Macaca fascicularis: one gene and its partner. The protein of the gene in region 1 purifies or fractionates together with the protein of each later gene. This does not show direct contact. Links are inferred from orthologs where the notes say so. Each region holds a gene or a part of one and is shown on either strand. Other genes may lie near its edges.

What was found. The genes of interacting proteins can lie anywhere in the genome.
Region 2: the proteins of PLOD1 (region 1) and HNRNPH2 purify together in Homo sapiens (affinity purification with mass spectrometry; 3 studies listed by BioGRID and IntAct, counting the BioPlex papers as one, with this or other methods). This does not show direct contact. The link is inferred for Macaca fascicularis from reciprocal best matches to the Homo sapiens genes PLOD1 and HNRNPH2.

The regions. Positions count from the first base shown.
Region 1 is NC_088375.1:222,847,252-222,850,903, forward strand, and holds part of PLOD1 (procollagen-lysine,2-oxoglutarate 5-dioxygenase 1), read right to left. Parts: intron 2,541-3,652; coding exon 2,428-2,540; intron 842-2,427; coding exon 778-841; intron 1-777. UniProt on the Homo sapiens protein: Part of a complex composed of PLOD1, P3H3 and P3H4 that catalyzes hydroxylation of lysine residues in collagen alpha chains and is required for normal assembly and cross-linkling of collagen fibrils.
Region 2 is NC_088395.1:108,081,404-108,085,155, reverse strand, and holds the end of HNRNPH2 (heterogeneous nuclear ribonucleoprotein H2), read right to left. Parts: intron 2,781-3,752; 5' UTR 2,728-2,780; coding exon 1,378-2,727; 3' UTR 550-1,377; downstream 1-549. UniProt on the Homo sapiens protein: This protein is a component of the heterogeneous nuclear ribonucleoprotein (hnRNP) complexes which provide the substrate for the processing events that pre-mRNAs undergo before becoming functional, translatable mRNAs in the cytoplasm. Binds poly(RG).

The DNA of each region.
Region 1 (3,652 bases):
CATTCCAGCCTGGACGACAGCGCAAGACTCCATCTTAAGACAAAAAAAAAAAAGGAAAACAGATAGCTCCTGACTGGCCTGGATCTGAACTTAGTGCTTCTTAACCCCCAGAAACCACAGGCAAAGGGCACACTGTTTCTGCATCTTTCTGGGAGCAGAGCCGTAGCTTTCATCAGATTCTCAAAAGGGCCATTTAGCCACAAAGTCAGCAATGAGTGGATCTGGTTCACTTCCCTTTTGGAAAGATAAGAAAACTGAGTCCCCTGTGGGGAGGAGGTGTGACTTGCTTGAGATCACTCAGGAAGACCTATGGCAAAGCAATGTCATCACCAGCCACAGACATGAGGCCAGACCCAGGGATGTTTGTGGCATCAAGGGTCAAGTAGCCTTTTGCTTCCCAAGCTGCCTATGCCACCAGCTGAGTTCCTGCCCCCAGCCTAGGACTGCTTCACCTGGAAGGTGGGAGGGCCGGGAAAGCAGGGAAGGAGCGCCCACCTGCAAGGACCTCGTATGCAGGGCAGGGGGTCCAGCACCTGCTGTGCACATCCCCCAACTCCTCCCAGACTGAATGCTCACCTGTCCCAGGCCCCCAAGAGAGACACGGCTCTGCGCCGGGACATCCAAGTGGTCCCTGGGGACCTAGGGATGAACCCAGTGACCTCCCAGCACAATGGCCAGAAAGAAGCAGCCCAGTTCTCTTCCTTGGGCGCAGGCTCTGCCAGGAATCCTTCCTATCACCCCTCTCAGGATCCACCCCTCCCCATGGGGGCTGCTCACCCAAAGCTCCATCCAGGTTCTGGAAGATACGGCAGCGGTGGTCCAGGGTGATATTGATCTGTTCCTGCACGAAAGAGGGTACCAGGCTGCAGCAGGGACAGGCCCTGGGGGGTCTCACCCAGTGGGGGGAATTCCCCTCACAGTCTCACCCAGTGGGGGGAATCTGTCCCCCAGCCTCGGCCCTTTCTCCCCACACCTACTCTGCCATATCACATCAGGGCAGTTGGGTGCCCAGAGAAGGCCAGCAGCCAAGCTCCTGGGGTCTACAGTCTAGTGGCTCCATTCACAGAAAACCAGGGACTCTGAACTGGAAGGAATCTAAGAATGCAGCCGGCTCACCTACAACAACGACGGCCGTAAAAGTAACCAGCGCCTGCCAAGCACATAGCTACTCCAAATATTCTGGTTTTTGAGACAGAGTTTCCCTCTTGTCACCCAGGCTGGAATGCAGTGGCATGACCTTGGCTCACTGCAACCTCTGCCTCCCGGGTTCGAGCAATTCTCCTGCCTCAGCCTCCCGAGTAGCTGGGACTACAGGTGTGCACCACCATGCCTAATTTTTGTTGTTGTTGTATTTTTAGTAGAGATGGGGTTTTGCAATGTTGGGCAGGCTGGTCTCGAACTCCTGTCCTCAGGTGATCCACCCGCCTCGGCCTCCCAAAGTGCTGGGACGACAGGCATGAGCCACTGCGCCTGGCCACTACTCCAAATATTCTACACGTGGGTCGGGTGCGGTGACTCACACCTGTCATTCCAGCACTTTGGGAGGCTGAGGCAGAAGGATCACTTGAACCTAGGAGTTTGAGACCAGCCTGGGTAACACAGCGAAATTTCATCTCTATAAAAAAATTTTAAGGGGGCGCATGCCTATAGTCCCAGCTACTCAGGAGGCTGAGGTGGGAGGATCGCTTGAGTCCGGGAGGCTGAGGCTGCAGTGAGCTATGTTTCTGCCACTGCACATCAGCCTGGGTGACAGTGAGACCCTATCTCAAATAAATAAATAAAATATTCTACATATATTAATCAATTTAATCCTGACAACATCTCTGTGAGAAAGTACTATCATTATTGCATTATTTTAATTTTAATTTTTTTATTTTTTTAATTAATTAATTTTTTTTGAGACAGAGTCTTGCTCTTGTTGCCCAGGCTGGAGTGCAATGGCATGATCTCGGCTCACTGCAACCTCCACCTCCCAGGTTCAAGCAGTTCTCCTGCCTCAGCCTCCTGAGTAGCTGGGATTACAGGCACCCGCCACCACACCCGGCTAATTTTTGTATTTTTAGTAGAGACAGGGTTTCATTATGTTAGCCAGGCTGGTCTCAAACTCCTGACCTCAGGTGATCCACCCACCTCGGCCTCCAAAAGTGCTGGGATTACAGGTGTGAGCCACCGCCTCTGGCCCATTATTGCATTTTATAACGGAAAAAACAAGGCACAGAGAAGCTGCCCGATGTCACACAACTAGTAAACAGTGAGCTGGGATTAGAACCCAGGCACCTTGGCCCTGAAGTCCTTATTCTGAACCACTGAACAATGCTGCCTCTAAGACACCAACCCGGAGGTTCAGGCCTGAGAGGAGCTGTTCCCATGCAGCCTGGCCAGTGGATCCCCAGACCCCTCTCCTTTGGCCCACCCCCTGCCTCTTACCCTCTTCTCTGGGTCCAAGAAGATCTTGGTGTAAAACAGCTGGTCGCTGTCGCTGTCCTGGCCCTCCCACTCGGCCACCAGTTTGCTGAGGTTGGGGGCATAACCGATGAAGCCTGAAGGTTGGTGCGTGGGGACACCAAGACAGACCCTTAGCTTCCAGCCTGTAACCCAGGGGCCTCCTCCCACCCTTCCCTCTCATCCACCTCCACTCATATGCTCACAAACCCTGCCACCTCTCAGAAGTCCTGAATTGACAGGAGGTGGGGCTGCATGTTGGAAATGGGCCTGCCAGTGAATGCCACTTGTGAGTTCCTACTGACCCCAAGGATAATGGTGCCCACTAACCTGTACTGTTCGGTGCTGGGCACCACATAGGTGGTGAAGAAACGGATTGGGCGAGGAGCCCCCGGAGAGCAGGGCTGGGAGGATACAGGCCTCGTGCCCCTTCTTACAGTTATCTGGGAAACTTGGCCCAGAGAAGGGCAAGGCTGGGCCAAGCTCACACAGCGCCTTGGGGGCTGAGACCTGGCATGGTGGGAAAGCCCACATGGGCTCCTAGCTACAGTACAGACTGGTGACAGGCAACCACAAGAGTAATGGGACACCCCTACTCCTGGGCCTGCGCCAGGGCAAGGCCATTTGGACTGTGCTTACTCTGGACCAGTGGAAAAAAGTGTCTGTTCAGGGCAGATGGCAGATCCCCATCTGAGGTTGAAAAGAGGCCTGTGGATTTTATTCTCCATGCAGTGGAAAGTCATTAAGTGATGTGTGTGAATTTACATCTTATTTATTTATCTATCTATTTATAAGACGGAATCTCGCTCTGTTGCCCAGGCTGGAGTACAGTGGCACAATCTTGGCTCACTGTAAGCTCCGCCTCCCGGGTTCACGCCATTCTCCTGCCTCAGCCTCCTGAGTAGCTGGGACTACAGGCACCTGCCACCACGCCTGGCTAATTTTTTGTATTTTTAGTAGAGACAGGTTTTCATCATGTTAGCCAGGATGGTCTCGATCTCCTGACCTCGTGATCCGCCCACCTCGGCCTCCCAAATCGCTGAGATTACAGGTGTGAGCCACCACGCCTGGCCTTGGATTTGCATCGTTTAAAGACCCCTCTGGCTGCTGGATGGAGAATGGCCTGGAAGGGCATGAAGGTAGGGATTGGCAGAGCAGTAAGGAGGCTCCTACCGAGAGCCAGGAGCCCAGTGAGAATAGCGGCAGTGAA
Region 2 (3,752 bases), on another chromosome or scaffold:
AGGTGCCTTCTAGTTTGTGATGAAATACAAAGGATTATTTATTCGCTTTCACTTCTTTGGATTTTAGAGAATACTATCTTGGTAAGTGGCTCCAAAAGTAGCTCAATAGTCCTGTAGACATGGTAAGTTTTTTTAAAAAAGAAGAAAATGTTCAACTTTAATATTAATCAAAAAAATACAAATTAAAATTGCAATGAGATATCATTTCTCAACTAACAGACTGGCAAAGATCACAAAGAATAATGTGCATCAATAAGGAGGGCATAAGGGGGAAAATAAAGCACACACTCCAGGTAAAAAGATAAAGTACCAGAATCTTGCTGGTAACACAAATCAGAAGCCTTAAAAATGAGTATATCTTTGACTCAGCAATCCCATTTCTAGGGATATATCTTAGAAATAATTAATAATATATGCAACAATGAACATATAAAGATGCTAAATATATTGTTTATAATTTTAAAATTAAAAATTTTAATTTTGAGGGAATTATAAAGTCAATCAGCGTGCCCATATGACAGAACATAATAAAAATCAATCAGCACAAGATTTTTTCCAGTTTTTAAAAGGAAGATTTATTTAACAAGTTTCACTTAGTACAATACATCTAAATGGAAATCACAATACAAGGAAAGATTTAAACCAAAGCCTCAGAATTTCATACAAACAACACGACCAAACTTCTAAAGTATTGGTATTACATCTTAAAATTGTCCCGTATCCTTAAAAAAAAAAAAAAAAAAAAAAAAAAAAAAAAAAAAAAAAAAAAGTGTACACTCACGTGCCTTACAGGATATTAAACCAAAAAGCTAGAATTAACAAACATGCCAAATGTTTTCACTTTGAATCGTAGACACAGCTCCTATATTTGAGTTTTACAGAAAAGCATGTTTCTCAACATGCATCCGAAGTTTTCAATGTATTTGTGGTATAAGAGCAACATTTAACATAAGTGAAACTGCATTAACCTAAATACGCTTACTGCTTAGGTACACTCCTACAACATAACTAACTTGAGGAAAGCTAAAAATTGTTTTAACAGTTATGGTCAATACTGAACTTTGTTATTATGTCCTAGATGAATGTTTCAGTGTTCAAAATTACTGAGCTTGAAGTTTTAAAATAATCTCAACTTCCACTTTACAGTAAGCATGAATCACAAGCCTGTAATGCAAAACTGTTAAACTTAACTCTTGTTTTCTTAAAAAAGGAGAAAGAAAGATAAAGAAAGAGAAGCTGACCAAGAGTGATCAGAATCAATTATATTTCCCATTTACCAATCATACTGGATATACTAGACATCCCTCCCATTCTATTCAACTCCCACAAATGTACAGCTTTTATATATGGAGTAGCTGTTTGGTGCTCCTTCTCTACCTAAGCAAGGTTTGACTGATAGTCACTGGAATTTTCCTGCAGAACTTGGTCATATCCACTCATACTGCTCTGACCACCATAACCACCTCCATAACCACCACTCAGCTGCTGGCTAGCAGGACCTCCATAACTAGACTGGTTGGATAAGCCCATCCCTCCCATCATTTGGCTACCATAAGCCCCACCACTTGCCCCTGCTGTAGAATTCAAAAAAAGTTCTACATAGCTGTGATCGTAAGCACCCCCACTTGTTCCTGCAGTAGAATTTAAGAAGAGCTCCACATATCTATGTTGCATATTAGCTTTGTCTTTTGCCATAGCTGCCACAGCATCTTCATGAGTAGCAAATTCAACATCTGCCTCACCAGTAACTCTGCCATCGGGTCCAATTTCAATATGTACTCTCATGGGATTAAGAGGTGAGAAGAAATTATAAATATCATTCTCAGTGGCTCTGTAAGGTAACCCCCTCATGTGTACACAGTGCCCTGTGGTGCTCTGGAAACTGGACCCACCATCTCCATATCTATGATCAGACATTCCTGAAAAACAGTAATTGAGGTCTCTTCCAAATCTATCAGACCCAAAGCCATATCCATCATTATAGCCACCATAGTCATCATAGCCTCCATACCCTCCACCGTAGGCACCACGCCTCATCCTTTCAAACCCAGCTCCTCTGCCAATGCTATTATACCCTCTGCCAGCCCCCGGCCTATCATAGGGACCTGGCCGCTGCATAGCCATGAGCTTTCGAGGGGGATCATAGTGGGTTCGAACTTCAGCTCGGCTACTCTTGAAGATCTCAATGTACCTGTGCCCTATTCTTTCCTTGTGTTTCTTTAAGGCCTTCTCAGCTATCTCCTGCGAAGCAAACTGCACAAAGGCTTCCCCTGTGCTTCGCCCCTGAAAGTCCACTGGCAGTGTCATCCCATTTGGCACAATTTCCAACCCTGAAAAGAACTGAACAATCTCTTCCTTGCTACAGCCAAATGGGAGTCCTCTAAGCCGGACGAAGCCATCGTTGGCAGTATCAGGGCTATTCGGACCTGTATGCTTCAACACCCAATCCATTTCAACACTGTTAGACTTGAATACTTCAACGTATCTGTGTCCCATGGTTTCTCTGTCCTTCTTCAAAGCCAATTTCACTTCCTCTTCAGATTCAAGTTCAACAAATGCTTCACCACTTGGTCTGCCTTCTCTGGTGTAGATGAAACGAATACCTGATGTGCCATTTTGGATCTTGCAATCAGAGAAGAAGCGCATCACTTCATCGGCTGAGCAGGACCAGGGTAGGCCCCTGACCTTCACCACGAACCCCTCCCTGCCTTCCGTGCTCAGCATCATGGTGACTGTTGGGCTCTTGGTGGCAAGTTTGGCTCAATGCAATTTTAGTGTAGCTGAAAAAAAAAATTAGAAGACTACTGTCATGGAAAAATGCCCGTGATATAGTAAGATAAAAAAGCAAACTATTAATAGAAAATTCAACTATGCTGACAGCTTTTCTGTAAGATGTCTGTATAAACAAAGAGTTCACCAAATTTTTAACTCATTCATTTTTTAAGTTATTTATTCAATGCCTATTACATGTTGGATACCATTAAAAATTAATAGCAATCGGCCGGGTGTGGTGGCTCACGCCTGTAATCCCAGCACTTTGGGAGGCTGAGGCGGGTGTACCACCTGAGGTCAGTAGTACCACCTGAGGTCAGGCGGGTGTACCACCTAGAGGTCAGAGACCAGCCTGGCCAACATGGTGAAACCCTGTCTCTACTAAAAATACAAAAAATTGGCTGGGCGTGGTGGCAGGCGCCTGTAATCCCAGCTACTCGGGAGGCTGAGGCAGGAAAACCACTTTTATGTACCCAGGAGGTGGAGGTGAGCCAAGATCACGCCACTGCACTCCAGCATGGGCCACCAGAGCGAAACTAAGTCTCAAAAAATAAATAAATAAATAAAATAACATCAACAAATCAGTGGGATAGGTCAACAAATAAAAGATGGCTATATCTGAATATACACACATAAAAAACTTCACTAGATCAAAAGATTAAACAAAACATTAAAATACAAACAAAACACAGGTTATATACGTTCTTTATATAATCTCCTTATATACAAATGTATGCAAATCAATAAAATCAGGGAAATATTTGGGCTTCAGAGATAAATGAAAAAAAGACATTATTGGGAATTCACACATTCATTTTAGAAATATTTTTTAGTTGCCATGTCCAATACTCAGCTCTGGCATACAAGAATCAATAAGCCCAGAAAGGGCTTATGATCCTACAGGAGCACCAAATATCATTATTAAAGATGTAAATGCAAATATACATTATACTTGCCATGACCCTCTGGGTGGGGTATAA